Linked DNA regions of Arabidopsis thaliana. The protein of the gene in region 4 purifies or fractionates together with the protein of the main gene of each other region. This does not show direct contact. Each region holds a gene or a part of one and is shown on either strand. Other genes may lie near its edges. The genes, in order: RPT5B, AT5G26360, PAF1 and AT4G19006.

Region 1 (4,925 bases), on a different chromosome or scaffold from region 4:
AAAAAACTATGTTGCCACAAAACGAGCTTATTTTTATTGGGTAACAAGAGAGCAAGGATCATTGGAATGGTTCAGTGAGGTCATGAACGAGGTAGCTGAGTATGATAGTGAGGGGATGATTGAACTACATAATTACTGCACTAGCGTGTATGAGGAAGGAGATGCGAGGTCAGCACTAATCACCATGTTGCAGTCATTGCACCACGCCAAGAGCGGCATTGACATCGTATCGGGCACTCGGGTCCGAACCCATTTCGCTCGACCCAATTGGCGTAGTGTCTTCAAGCACGTCGCAGTCAACCACGTCAATCAACGAGTTGGTATGTCACTAGCTATTACAACAATTCCATAGCTATTGTAGAATCTTTCTAGTAAGTAACTGATTTTCCTTTTTCTATTTTGTTGGTAGGGGTTTTCTACTGTGGTAATACATGCATCATAGGAGAGTTAAAGAGACTGGCTCAAGATTTCTCTAGGAAAACTACGACCAAGTTTGAGTTCCACAAGGAAAATTTCTAGTTTCGATTCTATTCATCCATCAGACCATCATTAGAAAATAATAAGCAAAATATGTCAAGCTGATATCTATTATAATTATAACCACACTTTGAAGGGGTTCTAGATTCAAAAGTTGAGACTACAACTTGAAGTTTTCTATAATGTAAAGAGGAGAAAGAAGAGTGTACATAAAAGAGGACTTAGGCGTAGTAATTCAAGCTTGCTTTCTTCTTGGCTTGTACTTGAATTATACCTTCATTGAAATCCTCATGGTTCACCTGCACACACATTTACCATTTCCTCCATATCATCCACATCCTAAAGTTACAACCACTAAGACGAAAGATATATGCATACCTCAGTTGCATCCCGGCGCAGGGCAAGCATACCCGCTTCAACACACACTGCTTTGAGTTGAGCTCCATTGAAATCATCCGTTGACCGAGCAAGCTCTTCAAAATTGACGTCTGCATTCACATTCATTTTCCTTGAATGTATCTGTAACCCCATCGCCAACATTATGCAAAAACAAAACAGTACCCAAGATAAGTTATCCGCGGAATACATAGAAAATCACAGCAAGACTTGTCTAAGTGCATGAAGCTCTCTAATTTTAGCTTTAAAACGACATAGAAATAAAGAAAGAAAAAAGAAAAGATGCAGTAAAGGATACAGAACCTGTAAGATCCTGCCTCTAGCTTCTTCAGTGGGGTGCGGAAACTCGATTTTACGATCCAAACGACCAGAACGCATAAGGGCAGGATCTAGTATATCAGCACGATTTGTCGCTGCAATAACCTAAGTTTGTAAAATTATGAGTTTTTCATGCCTTTCACTAAATAAATAGACATTTGCAGGGGTAATATGAGGGGTAACAACCTTAATGCGATCATCGCTGCTGAATCCATCAAGCTGGTTGAGCAGCTCCAACATTGTCCTTTGTACCTCACGGTCTCCACTAACTTCGCTGTAAGCCAATTAAAAGTCAGCATTAGTCATCAGAAAGAAAATAAAATAGTTATGACATGACTCTAGATAGAGTACCTATCAAAACGCTTTGTCCCTATTGCGTCAATCTCATCTATGAATATAATACAAGGGGATTTCTCTTTTGCAAGCAGGAAAGCATCACGGACAAGTTTTGCTCCATCTCCGATGAACATCTATACATAAGTCTAAAAAAAGTTACTTTCCGTTTGGTTCAAAAAATATCACAGGAACAAGATCAAAATCAGTTACGTTTACTCTAGTTTTCATACCTGAACAAGTTGTGGCCCTGCTAGTTTGAGGAAAGTTGCATTTGTCTGTGCTGCACAAGCTCGGGCCATCAACGTCTTTCCGGTTCCAGGAGGACCATACAAGAGTACACCTTTTGGTGGACGGATACCCAACTTTTCGAACTGCTCTTTATGAGTCATTGGCAACACAATGGCTTCAACAAGTTCTTGTATCTGTTTAATTACAAAAACAGGAGAGTCACCAACATCAAATATTGTACCAGAGATACTAAAAACTAAGGAAACATGAAACAGGAGAGTCATCAACTAGCCTGTTTTTCTAGTCCCCCTATATCATTGTAGTCTTCAGTAGGTTTTTCGTCGACCTCCATTGCTTTTACTCTTGAATCATACTCAGAAGGTAAAGTATCCAGAATCAAGTAACTATCTTTGTTAACTCCAACTAAGTCCCCAGGCTTCAATGTATCTGGATCAACAAGTCCAACAACAGGGAGGAAGATGGTCTGAAAAGTATAATTAACCCATGAGATCATTATACAAACACTACACTAGTAGTCAGAGTTTGTTCCCCACTAGTTCTGAAAATCTCTCTAACGGTGATATAAGAGTCTAAAACTTCACCTGACGAGTTGATGTTTTTAGAACGACACACTTTCCCTTCCTCTGAGAGTCCAGATCGATATTCGCTCCATCTTCCTCTGCATCATCCTCTGGACTCATCTCAAGAATCTAGAAAGCACGGATAATAGATCAAATCCTAATTCCATCATTACACAAAAAAAAATTTGATGGTAAAATGTCTGAACTACTGTGGCAAAGATTCAAGGAATTCATCAGGCTAACACTACTAGTAATCAAAAGCATAGTACAATTGTGTCACTCAACAAAAAGGAATGTTATACATACCAAAACCAAAAGCCCCATATAAGGAATGTGAAACACCCCAAGAGAAGAGTCAGTGAAAGTACCTCAACGATATTGCCAACTAAGTAAGGAAGCTGTTTGTTAAGCTTAATCTTCTCCTGGTTCTCCTTTATTTTCTCCTTCACTGATTCCAAATCAAGGTTTGTCCTCTGCGATTCTTCCTACAACAAATCAACGTATTTGAGAGAAAAAGACATCAAAAAATTCTGGTGAATTTCATCCAATGAGCAAAAGACCAGTAAATATAAATGTCTTCTAATCATATTCTATAATTATCTAACTATAAAAACAAGTACTTTGAGTGAATTTCGATATCTTTGACTGATAAAAAGTGTGATATGAAACAAGAGTTATCGTTGCTCTCAGACATCATCCATCTTCTTCAAAACTAATCAAAGTGTCGCTAATCAAATTAAGGTAATAGTGAGCTTGGAATGAAGAAATATACTAGTTCCAAGTAGCCAGCAGATTAAAAATATAGAGAGAAGAGAGAGAGGGTGGTGACCTTGAGGATGCGAATCTCGTTGGCTAAGAGACGAGAAGCTCTACCGATGTCATCAGTAGTCATGGAAGCTAGTTGGTCTCCCTCGAAGCTCGTATCCTCCGCCATCGCCGTTGCCATCTCCCTTAGCAGCCTGAGTTAATCACTGTAAGAGTCTACGAGAGATCTCAGAAGACATAAATAGGAAACAGAGTTTGGCTTTTGGGCGAAGAAACAGCTTTAATTTAATAACACATGTATTGTATTAAATATTATCACAGTCAATACCCAACAACAAATCCGATGTCGTCCAGCGGTTAGGATATCTGGCTTTCACCCAGGAGACCCGGGTTCGATTCCCGGCATCGGAGCGTTTTTGGTTTTGTATCCTTTTTATTTTTTTCACAATGTATCTTATATCTATTTTAAAATCAAGTTATTGCTAAGCAATCTGGTCAAATTGATGATGTAGTTTTCTTAAAAGCTGACCAAAAAAGAAGTGAAGCCAAATGGAAACAAGTAAGAAACTGTTCAATATTCAAATCGGAAGGGTGAAGAAGAGAGTTGAAGATTGTATTTACTATTGCTAACGAACAAACACATTACAATTTTATCATAATATTTCAAGATCCTTTAAGTATGATTCTCCTAATCGCATGTTCACATTTACCAAGTGATTTGAAACAAGGCAGTCTGCGGCCAATGTGATTTTGGTCAGTCTATTTGTTCTTCTCCATGACGCCTGCAAATGAGTAGAGTTCAAGCAAAATACAAATCATTGTAAATACAAGCGTGCGTTCTAATGATTTGCAGGTAAGTTAGATGCATTTGTATTTCTTCATCAGAGATTTCCATGAATAAGATGGATTCATGCCTAGAGTAGCAATGGAGAGTTACGCGTGTCACTTACAGTATGATTTAGGCCAAGAAAACTTAAGACTAGACTCATACTACGCTTTTAATCCCTGCATTCTTGTCGAATTCCTCTGAAGGAACCACGTCCGCAATAATCTTTTCTTGACCGCGCCAAAGAATCTGCCAATGATTATGAGACCATCTTTAAAGCTTTAACTTGGAAAAGTATGAAAACAAATTCATCATTACGCACAGGCAAACATCAGGAAAAGGTAGAAGAGAGGGAAACTTGACTGGAAAGGTTACTTTGCTTGGTGACGATATGTAACCTTTAATCTTTTAGTATGTGCATATGAAAAGCAACATCAAAAAATTACAGTGCCCAAACTTACCCTGTCAATGACTCCAAATTCTTTAGCTTTTGGTGCATCCATGTAATATGGCCTTCTCATTACGTTAGCTACAGTCTCCACGGACTATATGACATATAAGAATGTTTTAATCAGCTATCAAATTTCTCCACAAAGTTATGAAAATATTTCGCACTCACATTCCCAGTATGCTTTGATAGTAGTTCCACAAGTATATCCCTATTTGTAATGACCTGCAATTGCATAACAGGAATGAGGAAGATGAAGTAATCAAACTCAGATTCTTCACCTAATTAGGTCATGAAATTCTGAACCAAATGCTTAAGTGAGAAATTTCTGTCCAAATTATCAGAGATATAATATAGGAAAGTAGGTAGAAGCAAAGCAGAAAGAGAAAATCTCGATCAAATTTAAATTTCCAGAATATTAAGTGTGTAGAGCGATTCATCAAACCTCTTTGGCCCGAATCAGGACATCACTGGCAGGCATCAACCCAGAAGAAGGTACACGTGGTTGCTGAATCATCGCTGTGACATAATGAATCAAACGTATGAGAGG
Region 2 (6,208 bases), on a different chromosome or scaffold from region 4:
TTAACGAATCTTTATACATAATAAGAACTATTAACTTTTTTTATTTAATAAATGATTAGTATATATGCAGAATTGAACAATATGCTACCAATCTAATAATACAAAATTAGCTTTTACAAATAAATTTTACAAATTATCCACCCATTGAGTTTAATACGTTTACTATACATAATTCCAACTAATGAACTAAACCCAACAAAAGAAAATCCAATAATTATTCAAAACAAAACCTCAAAGAAATGAAAAAATAAAAAAGTCTTGTGAAAACAAACCCATTTATTTTGAGTTAAGAAAAACTATTTATATTACAATCATCTTTAATAAAATAAAATAAAAATAAAAGGTGATTCAGTTTCATTTTAAATAACACAAATAGATAGTATATAAAAATATAAGTAATTCAAACTAATTTTCTATTTAGATATAGCAAATTTAAAAAAAAATATATGAACTAAAAACAATACAAAAAACAGAAATAAAATTTTAAAATAAATTTGGGCGTAGCCCGTATTTCCTCTAGTTTACTGTAAAATTAGATCAAGATCAACATAACTAAACTTTCAATTTTCATTTAACTAGCGAAGTTTAAAGGTTTTCAGTAACAAAACCAACCCGTATAAATAAATTCGGACCGAGTCAACCTGAATAATAACCCAAAACTCTAAATAACAGATCCGTACGTCTGAAATGCAATTAATGGTGTTCAAACAAAAACACAATTTGACACTAACCGGTCAACTAAAGATCCAGTTGAAGTACATACTTGATGATATTCAAACAAAAACGACACAAACTAAAAAAGTCTCTAGTGCCAGAAATTTCAAAAAGACAATAACAACTAGCACTCTAAAAACCAACAAAGTGACTACGAAAATTCAAAAAAGCTAATATTCCAAAACAAACAAAAAAAAACCACCCTCGAAAATCTTATCTCACCAAGTCAAACTGCAGAATTAAAAGATATGTCAAGGGAAGATAATAGCCAAAAGAGTGCAACCATTAAACAAGTGAAAACAGAGATTGAGTTATGCTGAGACCAAAGTGTTTCTCCCTTCGCTTAGTCGGGAAGAATTTGTTCGTTGTCTGCATCTCCTTCTGTCTCAATGGTAGGCTTTGAAGGTCCAGATCCAGGAGCTTGCTTCTTCTTGATTCCACTCACTATATCATCGATCCTTAGAAGCATACACGCTGCTTCTATAGCCGTCTTGAAAGTTTGCGCCTTCACATTGTACGAATCCCATATCTGGAAAATTGTTAAAAGCTTTTAGTCAACTCTCTGAGTCACATTGGTTTCATGTTGTGAGAATCAACCAAGGTTATGTGATTTAATCCTTACCTTGCTCTCTTTCATATCAGCTATTGCACCAGTGTTCCCGTCAATACCAGTCCATGCGTTTTCACCATTTGCATGCTGCACCAAAACCGACAATTGAAGCATTGAGAAAAGAGTTGGTATATACTTAAACAACGGGCAAGAGATGGCAGTTGGGGTTCATTAGTACAGGACAGTACCTTCCCTTGCAATGCAGTCATAGTACGGATCACGTTAACCCCACAGTTTTGAGCCAGGGTACGTGGAATAGCCTCGAAAGCAATGGCAGCTGCTTCATAAGGCCACTGTTTAAATAAGATTCAGACCAACAAAAGAACATTTATCAGCGACCGTGGGAACAGCATACTCGTTTTAGAGGCTCGATATAGATTTGACACAAAATCACACAACTTTAGGCAAGGAAACAAAATGTAATAAAAGCAAAACCGACCTTTTCTATGCCTTCAATTGTTGCACTCTTCTGTTTTAATGTGGCAGAAACGGTTAGCTCTGTGGCTCCTCCACCAGGAACTAGCTTTGGGTTTTTGATAATGTTTCTTGCAACAGACATGGCATCCTGTAGGGACAATGTTTCAGGCATATAAGGTTATGAATGATTAAGAAATACAGATTTGTAAATAACACCAACGAACCTGTAAATTTCTTTCCACTTCATTGATGAAATCTTTACTTGGTCCCCTTAAGAGTACAGTACAGGCTTTGGGTTCTTTGCAATCAACAATGAAAGAAAAGAAATCATCTCCAATTTTCTTGACCTCAAACAAGCCAGCCCCAGTACCGATATCAGACTCCTGCAGTTCGTCGGGCCTGTTCACAATTACTGCTCCACAAGCCTTGGCGATTCTGTTGTTGTCAGTTTTTCTCAACCTTCGGATTGCACTTACCCCAGCTTTACTGAAATAGTGACAGGCCAAGTCACTAAGACCCTTCTCTGTGATAACCAAATCAGGCTTGAACTTTAGTATTTGAACGCAAATGTTCTCGATATATTCCTCTTCCAACTTCAACAACACTTCCCAGTCCTCTTCTCTAACCAACTCAGCATTGGTTTGATTTTCACCTTTCTTGTACTCAAGAGGACAGTCAAGAAGAATAATCCGTGGGTTGACAATCTTTCTTTTCATTTTACCAGGAGCAACAACATCTTTGTTAAACATAACTCCTTTAAGAACCTCAGAGTCCTCGAACTGACCACCAGGAACTTTCTCAACCTTGATGTACTTTTTAATGTCTACCTCCCTCAAACCTTGTCCAAGATCAACACCAACAGTAGTAGTGGCATCAATAGCCAAATCCTAAAACAGTACATAAAGTCATATAAAATCATGTGAGTACCAACGACAATCAAACTTGTAGAACTTCATACTACAAGTATTTCAACAATCGAAAACCACCAAAAGAATTGAAGAAAGCAGTCATCAAATTCAAGTTATTTCATGGTTACTCATCTTACATTTAAAAAGTCACTTCAAGATGTATGCTGTATCTATACCTACTTGTCTAGACATATCCAATATATATTAAGGAGCAATAAAACCTGGACTGGTAATGCATAAGTAAGAAGCTACTGTAATTACGGTACTTACCGCAATAAGATCTCCAAATTGGCTAGTGAACTTTGTCCCTATGCAGCTCTTGACTAATCCTAGCACTTGTGAACCTGCAACTCACACATTCTTCCATCAGTACAAACGTGAAAGAAAAACTAACTTCAGAAACCAAAGTAGCTGAAGGTCAACTCCAAATGAACAAATACAAGGTAGAAATGGACTTACGGTCATTGATATCAATTGACATAGCAATTTTGTCAAGAACAGCAATAGAATCTTCGAGAGCCTTGATGTAAGCTGCAGAGAAGAATGCATTCGTTAAGATGAAAACGACATGTGTAACATGACAACAATAAGCAATTCATAGTGCCAGCATACCTCGGCATATGACTGTGGGATGGTAATTCTTCTCAAGAAACGCTTCTGCAACGTGAAGCATTTCACCAGCTGTTGGCAAAAAGCAAACAAAAAGAGGACTTCAAGAACCCATGATTATAAACAGAGATCATGATGTTGAACTGAATACTGCAGCACCCATAATATCCTTAAGTAATTTGTTTGTGCTTTAGTTAAAAATACATTAAAACTGGTCCAAACCAAGCCATTGACAAACTATTTGTTAGCAAAAAAGAATGTTCGTACCTAGAACAATAACAGACGTTGTCCCATCACCAACTTCTTCATCTTGCGTACGGCTCAACTCAATCATTGACTGCAATCACCAGAGTCAAAAATGGATAAGTAAAACAATTTTAACAAGAACAATAGATAGAGAAAGGTCAGAAGTAAAACCTTAGCTGCAGGATGAGCGACATCTAGCTCACGAAGAATAGCATTCCCATCATTAGTAACAACAATCCCTGTAAAGATCCAAGAAACAAAGAGGGGTAAGATATGATGATAACACACAGATTAAGAAAAATTAAAGGTAGACAGAAAAAAAAAAAAAACAAGACAAACAGAACCCAAATATTGATTTAGGGTTTATATAAAACTAACACCGAAACTGAAGAACAATAGCTTCAACAAAGAACGAGTACATAAGAAAAACATTTCCAAAGCTAAAAACACTAAACCTAATTCCCTCACTACAGAGATCTACTACCCACATACAGAGATATGAAAAGCCTAAAAAAAAGAGGAAGTGTTTAGAAAAAGACCTCCACCAGCATCAAGAAGCATCTTCAACATAGAACGAGGACCCAATGTTGTACGAATGATATCAGCAACAGCCTGTACCACAAAAACAACGATGATCTGAAACCAGAGGAGAGAAGCAACAAGCATCACAGAGAAAAAGAGCCATAGAAAAGGATTAATTTACCTTGGAAGCTTGGATATTACCATGATGAACCTTACTTCCAGATTCACGCTTCAACGAATCGCCTAAACCATTTTCACAAAAGGAGTTAATCTCGTTACCAAAAAACTAATATCGATTTAGAGGAAATGAGATCTGGAGGAAGATGGAGATACTCACTCAGAACGAGTACCGGTGCGTGCATATTTGCGATCTGAGGTTTTCACAGTGAAGAAGAAGCTTAGAGAGACACGGCGAGTGATTTTCAAAGAGCGGCAAGTGGAAGATCCTACTGCCTTCTCCGATTTCTTTCATCCTCTCTCGTGCTTTTCATTTTAGGTTGAGAAGCCCATCCCTAAGGCCCATTAACTAATATTTCACACATTGGGCCTTTTTGTAAGATCAAAACAAAGTAATAGTATTTTTATATCCGGAAGATTAGGTAAAGATGCGTGAGAACGGGAGAATTGTTAACCTAATTTGTTAAGAGGGAAAAAATACAAAAAATACTTCATTTATTTTTAATTTGTCCGTTTAATACATGCGTTATTTAATTTACCTGTTTAATATTTAAGTTAATTTTTATGTTTATTGAAAACCTTTTTTTTTTTTTTAATTTTAGCAAAATCAGACATCCGAGTTAACGGGCGTTAACAGTGGTAACGAAATCGCTAACTGTAGTTAAAACTTAACCATATAATGTTTACTATTTATATACAATTTGTTTTCTAATAATTATGAACATATTATTTTAGTCGAGTGGTTATGAGAGAGATTACCATCATCATCGATTCAAAATCGATTATCATCTCCAAAATTTTTTTTGATTTTTTTTCTTTTTTTTTTAACAAAAAGGCAAAATCGAAGTCAGCCATCTCTTTCACTTCAACAGGCTTTGCACTTGTGTGTTGCTTCACTTCTTTCTCCAAAGGATATTGCACCAAAATCAATCACCAACCAAAAGTCCCAAATGTTAGACCAATTAATACAACATAGATTTGTGATAATCGATCTTATTTGTTATCAACAGATGCAATTAATGGTAACATAATCTTTCTATAAGCTATCAACGTTACTAACAATGAAAAACAAAGTCTGGATTTTTCAACGCAAAATATCAGCAAAAACTGGGAATATGCAATCTTTGCTGACTTATTCATATCAATCGATCTAGAAATTGAAAACCTTAATATGAATTGAAGAGATGAAGGAATCTAATTTAGCTCGTTCTCAAAATCGAATTGAAGCAGATCTAACAAACGTGGTGCTAAACAAAAGAAAGTCTCAGAATCAAATTCAAAATCGTAACTCGGATTACTGAGATTTTGCCTTTTGTTAAAAAAAAAAATCAAAAAATTTGTTGGAGATGAGAATCGATCTCGAACTGATGAGGATGATAATCTCTCTCAAAACCACTGGGACTAAGATAATATGATCATAACTATTAGAAAACAAATTGTATATAAATAGTAAACATTATATGGTTAAGTTTTAACTGCGGTTAGCGATTCCGTTACCATTGTTAACGCCCGTTAACTCGCATGTCTGATTTTGCCAAAATTTAAAAAAATGAAGGTTTTTAATGAACATAAAAATTAACTTAGGTATTAAACGGCCAAATTAAATAACGCAGGTATGAACAAATTAAAAATAAATGGAGTTTTTTTTGGTTTTTTTCCTCTGTTAATAGTATAATCTCCCTCGACCTAATCCATCTCCCGTCAGAAAGTTGTTCCAAACTCTTCAGTGTTATCATCTTTTCCTTTTAAGATTATTTTTGTCAAGTCTACTTCTTATAACAAGAGTAAGTGCTTTCCCTCCTGTTTTAGGTTTTTGTAATTTGGTTCGCTAATTTATTTGATTTCTCATTTGTGTTTGTTTCGTTTCCCTGAATTTTTCTTCCTTTGATTTTTCAGATTACAGACTTTGAGACTCTTAGTTTTTACTAAGACACAGTGTGATCAAAGAAATAGGCCCATCTTTGTTTTATAGAATTCTTTGTAATCAGGTTGTGTTGAACCTTGT
Region 3 (4,403 bases), on a different chromosome or scaffold from region 4:
CAAAATTGAAAACAAATCTAGAAAGTAATTATAAGTGAAAACATATAAAAACGTTATAAATCATAGTATATGCTAACTTTAACTAATCTATATAATAAATAAATTAAAATTTTGAAAACAAATCATCAAATATCAAATAAAGAATAATTCTTGGGTTCACTTCTAGGGGGTGAACCTAATTTATTCACCCCCTCTTTAATAACAAATCAATATTTGCCATGTTATTTGATTAAAAAAACTTAAAACAATTAATATTATCAAAATAAAATAATTAAAATAAATCATTAAAACCCCACTTTTTTGTAAATCCAAACCGATATATAATCTCGTTTAATTACCAAATCTAAGCCCTAATTCTCCTTTATAAACCCAAACCGCCATTTAGACTTATTTAATCGTTAAAAAACAAACCATAATCGTATTTTCTAAACCCAAACCGACATTTAACCTAGTTTAATTGTAAAATCTAAATATGTTTATAAGCCCAAACTAATATTTAACATCGTATAATCATAAAATCTAAACCCTAATCGTATTTTGTAAACCCAAACCGATATTTAACCTCGTTTAATCATAAAATCTAAACTCTCATTTTTTCTAATAAACTCAAACCGATACATAATTTTCTTTTAGTGGCAAATTAGATTTAATAGTTAAATTAATTTTTTATTATTATTACTAGTTTGTTAGTTGGGTTTAAAAGTTTCATCAAAGGAGATTTCATAATTGAATAAGGTAAGTGACGATTTTAAAATAGCTTGTTTTTAGAAGTTTTTCGTTCTAGGTTTGTTCTTATTGCATGTAGCTAGTTAGCGTCATGAACTAGTAACTGATCTTAGGGAGATAAAACCACAAAAGTGCTGAATTTATTTACTTGATCTAACATACATAGACTAGAAACTACGTTATAACAATACAAAAGCTTAGTTGTAGAGCTTTGTTTGTGGAGGTAAAGGAACTTGATCTCATTGGGTGATTGATTTTGTGGCTACAACAAAAATCTGAGTAGTTAAGTTTTTATCGATGCTACAAAATTCAATCCCCTAGTCATCTGTGATTCCAGTTTAAGGAACTTGAGCTAAACTGAATATGCTTTTGTTAATCTTCTTGTATGAGACAATATGAACTTTCGCGATATTCTTAAAGACTCAACGATTAATTATCATACAGTTGATAATAATAGTCGAAAATAACAATCGTTACCAATCCACTTCTATATTATGTATAAAATGATTAAAACTATATTATAAAACAAATAATAATTCAAATTTAAATAAATATTTAAAAATCAAAATTCTATTAGTGTTGTACAAGCACATGTTATGATCTACTTCATCACTATATTCGTCAAAACTAAAAATGTATGACTTTTCAGCTGTCATAAAAGTTTAGAAATATACAATAAATTAATTTTAAGATATCAATTTTAAAAATGATAAATGTTCTAAAATTTTAAATAGGATCAATCACAGAGACTTTTTTTTTGTAACAATTCAAATTATATGATTACTAATAACAAAATCGCAAAGTTTTATATTTATAAAATTAATTCATTTTTATTTAGTTTCAAATAATATACAAGAATATTCAAGCTAGTGTGCTCTGTTTTGTCTAATGTTTTTTTTTTTACTGAGAACTATTGACCAAACTCTTTTGTACATATTTAAAGATTCTTAAACAATTTCACATTTCATCAAAAAAAAAAAAAAGAATATACAAGGATTATCCTGTATAAAAACATAGGCCTAAAGTCTGTATAAAACATATGCCTAAAGTCTTAGCCCAATAAGCTAGATACCGAGCCAATACAAAGCCCAGAATTTAATAGAAGCCCATTAAATCGAGAGAGAGATCGAGAGCATCCATGGCTTGAAGGAAAAGAAAAGTTTTGTTTCTGAACTTTCGTCTCTATAAACCCTTTCGACGACGAGTGAAGAAGAAAGCGAGACGAAGAAGCAAAGATGTTCAGAAACCAATACGACACAGATGTTACGACATGGAGTCCAACAGGTCGTTTATTCCAAGTGGAATACGCCATGGAAGCAGTGAAGCAAGGATCTGCAGCAATTGGACTCAGATCTCGTTCTCATGTCGTTCTCGCTTGTGTTAACAAAGCTCAATCGGAGCTTTCTTCGCATCAGAGGAAGATCTTTAAAGTCGATGACCATATCGGTGTTGCAATCGCTGGTCTCACAGCCGACGGTCGTGTATTGTCTCGGTATATGAGATCGGAATCGATTAATCACTCTTTTACTTATGAGTCTCCTCTTCCTGTTGGTCGTCTCGTTGTTCATCTTGCTGATAAAGCTCAGGTTAGGCTTTTGTAGTTTGTTGATTGAGATTTGGTGGAATTTGGAATCGATTACGCTTGGTTTTGTGTGATTCGGTGATAAGTGTGTTGTAATTGTTAATTGAAATTTGAGGAATTTGGAATTCGATTACACTGTGAATCACTGAGCTCAAATTTAGCCATTAGCTTCTTGACTTTGTGCTTAGGGTTTGATCTGAGCTGATTAGGATTCTAAATTGCATTAAATAAGAGTTTTCTTAATTTATCATAGCAGAAACTTGAATCTTGTTTAGTGAAATTGTTTGCATGTTTGTTGTTACTGCTGCATAATCTTGTATTTAAAAGTTTAACCATAACTAAGAGCTTAACAATAGGATTCTAAAAGAAAGAGATTTGTGTTTCTTCTGGTGCTTTTGCTTGTTTCTGCAGTTTTTATTTGGAGTTATTGATTTTCAGTACCTCTAAGAAGTGAATTCCGCTCTTTGTTTTGCATCGTTCTCACCACTATGCACTTATCTTACCAGTCAATTACTCCTGCTAGGTGCTTGTTCGACATCTTTTCTGTAATTATGTGCTACTTCTCACTTTGTTTTTCCACCTATCTAATGGTTTCTTAAGTTAGCTGTTTTATCCACATCTGCATAAATACTTTTCAAAGCCATTGGGAAGAGCTCCCATATATTATATGTGTTTATAAAAGGAAGGGTCTTGTATTTCCTCATTGTCAAACTTTATTAGTTGGTTTACTCTTTTGTAGGAGAGATTTTACTTGACAGGTCCAACTTAAGTTACATTATTGTCATATTTCTTGTCTTTACCAAGGGTTTTTTTTGTTATATTTCTTGATCTGGAAAAGGAAATATTTATGTGTATGTTTGCCTTTATGAACAGGTCTGTACCCAACGATCATGGAAACGACCCTATGGTGTTGGTTTGCTGGTAGGTGGATTGGATGAGTCTGGAGCCCACCTTTACTACAACTGTCCCAGCGGAAACTACTTCGAGTACCAAGCTTTTGCTATTGGATCCCGTTCCCAAGCAGCAAAGACCTATCTGGAACGCAGGTTTGAGAGCTTTGGGGATTCTTCTAGAGAAGATCTGATCAAAGATGCTATTTTGGCTGTTAGGGAGACATTGCAAGGGGAAACACTGAAGAGTTCTCTCTGCACAGTCGCTATTCTAGGAGTCGATGAACCGTTCCACTTCCTGGACCAGGAAGCAATACAGAAAGTGATCGACACATTTGAGAAAGTGCCAGAGGAAGAGGAAGGAGAAGGCGAGGCTGGTGAGGGTGAGGCCGAAGCTGCCGAGGCTGCACCAGCAGAACGAGGTGGTGGTGTTGCAGGTGACCAAGACGTGGCTCCAATGGAAATGTAAGGCTTGTGTGTGTAACGCTGGAACTATTTTATTTCGATGTTAGTTGGATTTTTACTTTGCAAAATGGCTGCGGGTTTAGATTATATGCTTGAGAAGTTGAAACCATTTCGTCATTTAAACTCAATAGCTGCCATCAAGACTTTCTCGTATTCTGGTCTTTTGGTTTAAATCTGAAATCTGTTCACGACTTCCTATCTCTTTGGTTCTGCAATTCCTTGCTAAAAAAGTGTGTAGTGTCATCTAACTAGGGCTGTCAAGCAGGCCAAGCCAGCCTTGTTAGGCCTGCCCTGCAGAGGGTTTTAACAAAAAAATTGACCAGCCTCAAGTTTCCTTCGAAGGTTAATCTAAAATTTGTTAACCCAAAGAACTCCAGAATTTAATGTTAAATCGTAAATTATGATAAAATCATTAGCTCGACGTCATTTAGTCTAATAGAAAACATAAGTGGCCCCCTACATGGTGACGACTACGAAAGACTTTGGATAATGGGAACCATGTAAACCAGACCCATTGACTTTGCCGTCTCTCTTAATCATTTGCTTTATCCAGCATCCGTTCTCGTATATACACCAAATTAACCATCAAAGGAAAAAAAAATGATCAAGAGTTTATCATTGCATCTAAGAGCTAGTGGATCATATAAAATTGAATTAACAACGAACAGTCATGTTTTCGGTGTCAAAAGACATTGTGAATTAAACATACGAAACTACGTCAAATCGTTTAAGGCAATTGG
Region 4 (4,574 bases):
ATGCTAATTCGAATTAACGCAAAGAGATTCCCAAAATAGCTCTAACCGATTCAATTTTCGATTTTGAAGCATTATTGAGAAATCGAATCACCAAAACCCCAACATTAGAAATCTAAAACCCAGAAACAACAATCAAAATCTATTGTTCCCAGAGAAGAAAGCTATGTTTTTGTAGAAGAAATCAGATCTGGATTATGTCAATCCAACAGCATCTACCGATGATCCCTAAAATCTATTCCCCAGAAGACAAAACATTTAGAGAGCGAGCAGCTTACGAAGCAGACAGATGAGCTGGAGTCTTTGAGACTTGACTGCTCTGTTTCAAAATCTCAAAATCGGAAAATTTTGATTGAAACGAAACGATGGTGATAATTGGGGTTTAATATGTTTTGACTATTTTACCCTTACACTTTTCATTTCAGAAGTTGACAATTTGGATTCATTCCACTATTTGAGATTTATGAGTTTTTCACACGTCTAATAACAAAAGTTGGACCATTTGTTATGCAAATAGGCTTAAGCCTTAAAGGCAACACTAACGATGAAACTCAACTTAATAGGATAGATTCATGTGTCTGTGGAGAACAAAGTTCAAAAGTATAACTGTAATACCTAAAAACTTAAAAGGAAGTTGCATTTAATCCTCAGAGAATGTTACAATCTGTAGCTTAAACGAACAGTGAAGGAAAAAAGAGGAAAGAAGAGTTTAAGCTGCAACAAGATCAGGTGTCTCGGCCTCAACAGATAACAATGTGGTGTGAACCTTATCGACCCAGCTGTCTAGCTGATCCCTCAATGACTTGATCTGCGGTATTCCTAACACCCTCGGTTGCGCCCATGAGACGTAAACTGTTCCATTCACCTGATCTAGTATTCCCTCTATCAAGTGCACCTGCAATAACTCATTCTCCTCAGTTTTCACAATCAACCAATACAGAATCACACATTCAAGAAGATTTCGAGTCTGCGTCTTGCCAATCTTCTTTAGATTTTTAATGTTACTGATAGAATGAGATAGAGAGAAAGAGAGAGGAAAGAAAAAGGTACTCACCGATAAGCTCTTCATGAGAAGGTGCTCAACATCTTCGATTGAAAGTTTAGTACGCTCGGCAATGACACTCAAAGGTATGGTCCTATCTTCAGCAGGTCGGCTGTGGCAAAGATGTTATATACAAGTTAAGTACTAAGTTTGTTTTCATCTGTATATGGGTATAAGATGACTCCTACAGAGAATGAATACCTGAAAATGATCTCAATAAGGCAGAGAATGTTGATCTTCTCTAATAGTTTCTTCTCATTCTCAACCAGTGCTGGTTGAGCACTCAACGATGCATTGTGCACACGACAGAGTTCTTGGTACTGAACTAAATCTCCGTGGTTGAATGCTTGTAGAATGTGGTAAAGCCATTCCACATTTGTTCCAAGCAGACTTTTCAACTGCCATAACATATATAACATGTCAGTGTTCTTTTATCTATAATGGTGAATAAATCTGTGGTTTGCTAATTTGGAGGATGAAGGGAAACTTACAATTGGATGGGCTAACAGTTCCCCAAAGTTATAGATATTCTCCCCAAGTAGAGCTGAAAGCGACAAATCAAAAGCCAAATCCTGAAAGAAACGAAAGTATATGATATTAACATTTTGATTGGAACACAAAGCAATTTACAGAGATAAAGCATTTTTCACTGTAAGTTTCCTTTCATAGAGTGCTAATACTTATCCAAAATTGCTAAAAGACCATTTGGTAACGTAACGACTACATATATCATATATGAATGATTAGAACATTCAGAGGGACGTACCAGCTTAAATGATTCCGAGAGTGAGTCCACAGACGTATAAGCGAGGTAAAGAAGAGCATTTTTATAGAACTCAGAGAACTCTTGACGGACTTTATGGTACTGAGAAGAGACCCAAAAGAAGTTGGCATAAACTGATGGATCAATGTCAGTCATACTATCAAGCAGGCTTTTTCCATCGTCCAAGATTTTCTTGCACTCCTTCTGGTCACCTTGCTCAAGCTTGAACAAAGCTATTTGTGTTTCTATATAGCTAATTGGTTCATTTATCCTTGACTCTTTAGTAGCTTTAAGCTTCTCAATCACTCCTTCAAGATAACTAACTGCAGCTTCTTTCTCAGGATACTGTCGGGAGACTACAACAGCGAAATGCGCAAGCTTCAGAAGATTGATCCTCGTCTCAAAGTCAGTGATGAAATTGTTGTAAAGCTGTATTAAAGCATCTCCAGCCTGCAAAGATTATGAACATAAACAGGGGGAAACACGTCATTAACAAATCTGTAAACCTTGTAAAGCTGAGTTTTTGGGTATCTCTGAGCTAAAATATTCGAAAGCTTTGGTCACAGAAGTGCGATAATTCACCAATACAAAGCTTTTCAATGAATCTGAAAAATCACCTAAGAGTCGGAACGAATCCTTCAGATCTCTCTATAAACCCAAGTCTAACATGACGACTCCTATTAACTTTCTCGAGATCTATGAACCCTAATCACACAGAAGAACTACGAAACGATGAAAATTCAAGAGATTGACCTGAAAGACAGAGAGAGCGATGAACTGCTCGAGCTTAAGAGTGAGCTGATGCCAGAGCTTCTTCTGGTACAGATCTGCGAGCGAATTGTACCACTCACCAAGCTCTGGGTGCGCATTTTTCTGCGATTCAAGGTATTGTAGAGCAGCCATGGTAGATTTTCGAAGAAACAGAAGGCAAAGCTTCGATCTTGTATCGGTTTGGGAGTAAGAAATCCAGAAAAACCCAGCCTTTTAGTAAACTATATTTCTTGAGCTCAAAGACAAGTATTGGGCGATAAATGCAATAGCCAACGATTAAAAGGACTTTTATGTAAATAAAATACTAAGGCTAAAATTACATTTTGGGCTCAGAAAGAATTTTTGTTTCCGTATTGGGTTACAATGCTTTATTCACTGAGAATCAAAGAATGTGTCTGTTTATTTCTTTTGATGCTACAAAACCAATGAATTGAGTTATGAAGGCTATATTAGTGGATCTCTCTGTCTGCTACTTATTACCAAACAAATGAAGAAAGAATCATAGTCTTGAAGAAACAGAGTTTGTAAGAATTCTCTTTAGTTCCTTTCTCAATATCTTCCCAGTTGGAGATTTTGGTATAGAGTTGACCATCACCACTTTCCTCACCTTCCTGTAGGGTGCAACCTAGAACACGTAATGTATAATAATGTATTACATTAATGATCAGTGTTTTGAAATGGGAAAAGCCATTTTGAATTAGTGGGAACCTAACCTGAGAAGCTACATAGCTTATTACATCTTCTTCTGAAAGTGTTGTTTCTTGTCTCCGGACAACGAATGCTACCGGAATCTCTCCACATTCTTCATTTGGGGCACTGAAATGGAAAGTTTGGATACTTTCAGTAGAGTAACAGACTCTGTCGAATTCTCCAAAACTGGATTTGCAGTATCTTTCACTTATTAAACTAGTTTAGTAAATGATCAAGATTTGTTTTTTCGAACTTACGCTGTTACTGCAGCGTCGATAATCAAGGGATGTGAAACAAGAACAGCCTCCAAATCTGCTGGAGCGATCTGCAAAAACCATAAATGCAAAGAATTAATATTTCCTAATTTAGAGTTGGCTGAAAGAGAAACTGCTGTTCCTTTACCTGAAAGCCTTTGTACTTTATAATCTCCTTAATACGGTCAACAATAAACAAGTAACCATCTTCATCAAAATAAGCAATATCCCCAGTACGTAGCCAACTATCTTCAACTATACTCATCTGAGTTGCTTTTGGGTTATTCAAGTATCCTGACAGACAAATGAACGGTGTTCAGATTCTCTCCAAGTAAAATTAAAACTGTTCCATAAAAATATGTAGCACAAAATCAAGAACAAGATAATAAGCCTAATCTATCAACACAAGCACCAAATAAGCCCCACGAAAGTTGGAAGATCCAATCTATATTTACATTTATTAGGATGCAAGTGTTTCTCAGTGATTTGAACCATTGACAAAAGACTTTATTCATGAACTGAGAAGGAAAATCTCAACTATTTTGGTAAAGAAGTACAGTAGGAAGAATCTATCTACCTTTCATGACACCGGGACCTTGTATCCAGAGCTCTCCTCGGTTTCCTGGTGGAAGGAAAGAACCAGAGCTCCAATCTACTACCTTGGCTTGCATATTAGGAGCCAGTAGTCCCACAGAAGAATACCTACTAAGCTTTTCCGAGTTGAAGCCCCGTGTTCCAACTGCAGTTGATTCAGTCATTCCATATCCCTGCAACAAAATGTGATCCATTTTATACACACTTTCAGCTAAATGTAAAGAAAATAATAGTGTGAGTCAAAAAGTCATGGCCTCGTTAAATCAATTTTAGTTGTTTCTTTTGGGAAGAGATGTCAAATTTTTCTAAAAAATGTAGATTCTACTTCTTATTGAGTTTATGAATGAATAACATTTAATTCAGTTTTCTAAAACGACATCCAAAAGTAAAATTCAGAGACCTGAATCAAATCGACATGAGGAAGAGTCTGAAGGAAATCTTCAATGAACTTCCTACTCAAAGG

What was found.
Region 1: the proteins of AT4G19006 (region 4) and RPT5B fractionate together in Arabidopsis thaliana (co-fractionation; one large-scale study listed by BioGRID). This does not show direct contact.
Region 2: the proteins of AT4G19006 (region 4) and AT5G26360 fractionate together in Arabidopsis thaliana (co-fractionation; one large-scale study listed by BioGRID). This does not show direct contact.
Region 3: the proteins of AT4G19006 (region 4) and PAF1 fractionate together in Arabidopsis thaliana (co-fractionation; one large-scale study listed by BioGRID). This does not show direct contact.

Annotation. Positions count from the first base shown.
Region 1 is NC_003070.9:2,935,977-2,940,901, forward strand, and holds RPT5B (26S proteasome AAA-ATPase subunit RPT5B), read right to left. Parts: upstream 3,388-4,925; 5' UTR 3,283-3,387; coding exon 3,166-3,282; intron 2,822-3,165; coding exon 2,705-2,821; intron 2,466-2,704; coding exon 2,358-2,465; intron 2,240-2,357; coding exon 2,048-2,239; intron 1,950-2,047; coding exon 1,758-1,949; intron 1,662-1,757; coding exon 1,543-1,661; intron 1,466-1,542; coding exon 1,378-1,465; intron 1,297-1,377; coding exon 1,177-1,296; intron 997-1,176; coding exon 856-996; intron 777-855; coding exon 699-776; 3' UTR 552-698; downstream 1-551. Other genes in the region: RBOHB (respiratory burst oxidase-like protein), read left to right, coding at 1-320, 410-519; AT1G09130 (ATP-dependent caseinolytic (Clp) protease/crotonase family protein), read right to left, coding at 3,755-3,883, 4,096-4,176, 4,389-4,472, 4,547-4,600, 4,821-4,894. UniProt on the Arabidopsis thaliana protein: The 26S proteasome is involved in the ATP-dependent degradation of ubiquitinated proteins. The regulatory (or ATPase) complex confers ATP dependency and substrate specificity to the 26S complex.
Region 2 is NC_003076.8:9,254,504-9,260,711, forward strand, and holds AT5G26360 (TCP-1/cpn60 chaperonin family protein), read right to left. Parts: upstream 4,526-6,208; 5' UTR 4,389-4,525; coding exon 4,364-4,388; intron 4,270-4,363; coding exon 4,208-4,269; intron 4,117-4,207; coding exon 4,044-4,116; intron 3,744-4,043; coding exon 3,676-3,743; intron 3,596-3,675; coding exon 3,526-3,595; intron 3,331-3,525; coding exon 3,262-3,330; intron 3,181-3,261; coding exon 3,109-3,180; intron 2,994-3,108; coding exon 2,920-2,993; intron 2,629-2,919; coding exon 1,966-2,628; intron 1,890-1,965; coding exon 1,764-1,889; intron 1,618-1,763; coding exon 1,513-1,617; intron 1,412-1,512; coding exon 1,337-1,411; intron 1,244-1,336; coding exon 1,058-1,243; 3' UTR 550-1,057; downstream 1-549. UniProt on the Arabidopsis thaliana protein: Molecular chaperone; assists the folding of proteins upon ATP hydrolysis. Known to play a role, in vitro, in the folding of actin and tubulin.
Region 3 is NC_003076.8:17,158,534-17,162,936, reverse strand, and holds PAF1 (proteasome alpha subunit F1), read left to right. Parts: upstream 1-1,780; 5' UTR 1,781-1,961; coding exon 1,962-2,312; intron 2,313-3,181; coding exon 3,182-3,667; 3' UTR 3,668-3,893; downstream 3,894-4,403.
Region 4 is NC_003075.7:10,408,643-10,413,216, forward strand, and holds AT4G19006 (Proteasome component (PCI) domain protein), read right to left. Parts: upstream 2,826-4,574; 5' UTR 2,706-2,825; coding exon 2,556-2,705; intron 2,253-2,555; coding exon 1,806-2,252; intron 1,612-1,805; coding exon 1,531-1,611; intron 1,438-1,530; coding exon 1,241-1,437; intron 1,152-1,240; coding exon 707-1,151; 3' UTR 506-706; downstream 1-505. Other genes in the region: AT4G19010 (AMP-dependent synthetase and ligase family protein), read right to left, coding at 3,073-3,198, 3,287-3,389, 3,521-3,588, 3,666-3,811, 4,095-4,284, 4,512-4,574. UniProt on the Arabidopsis thaliana protein: Acts as a regulatory subunit of the 26S proteasome which is involved in the ATP-dependent degradation of ubiquitinated proteins.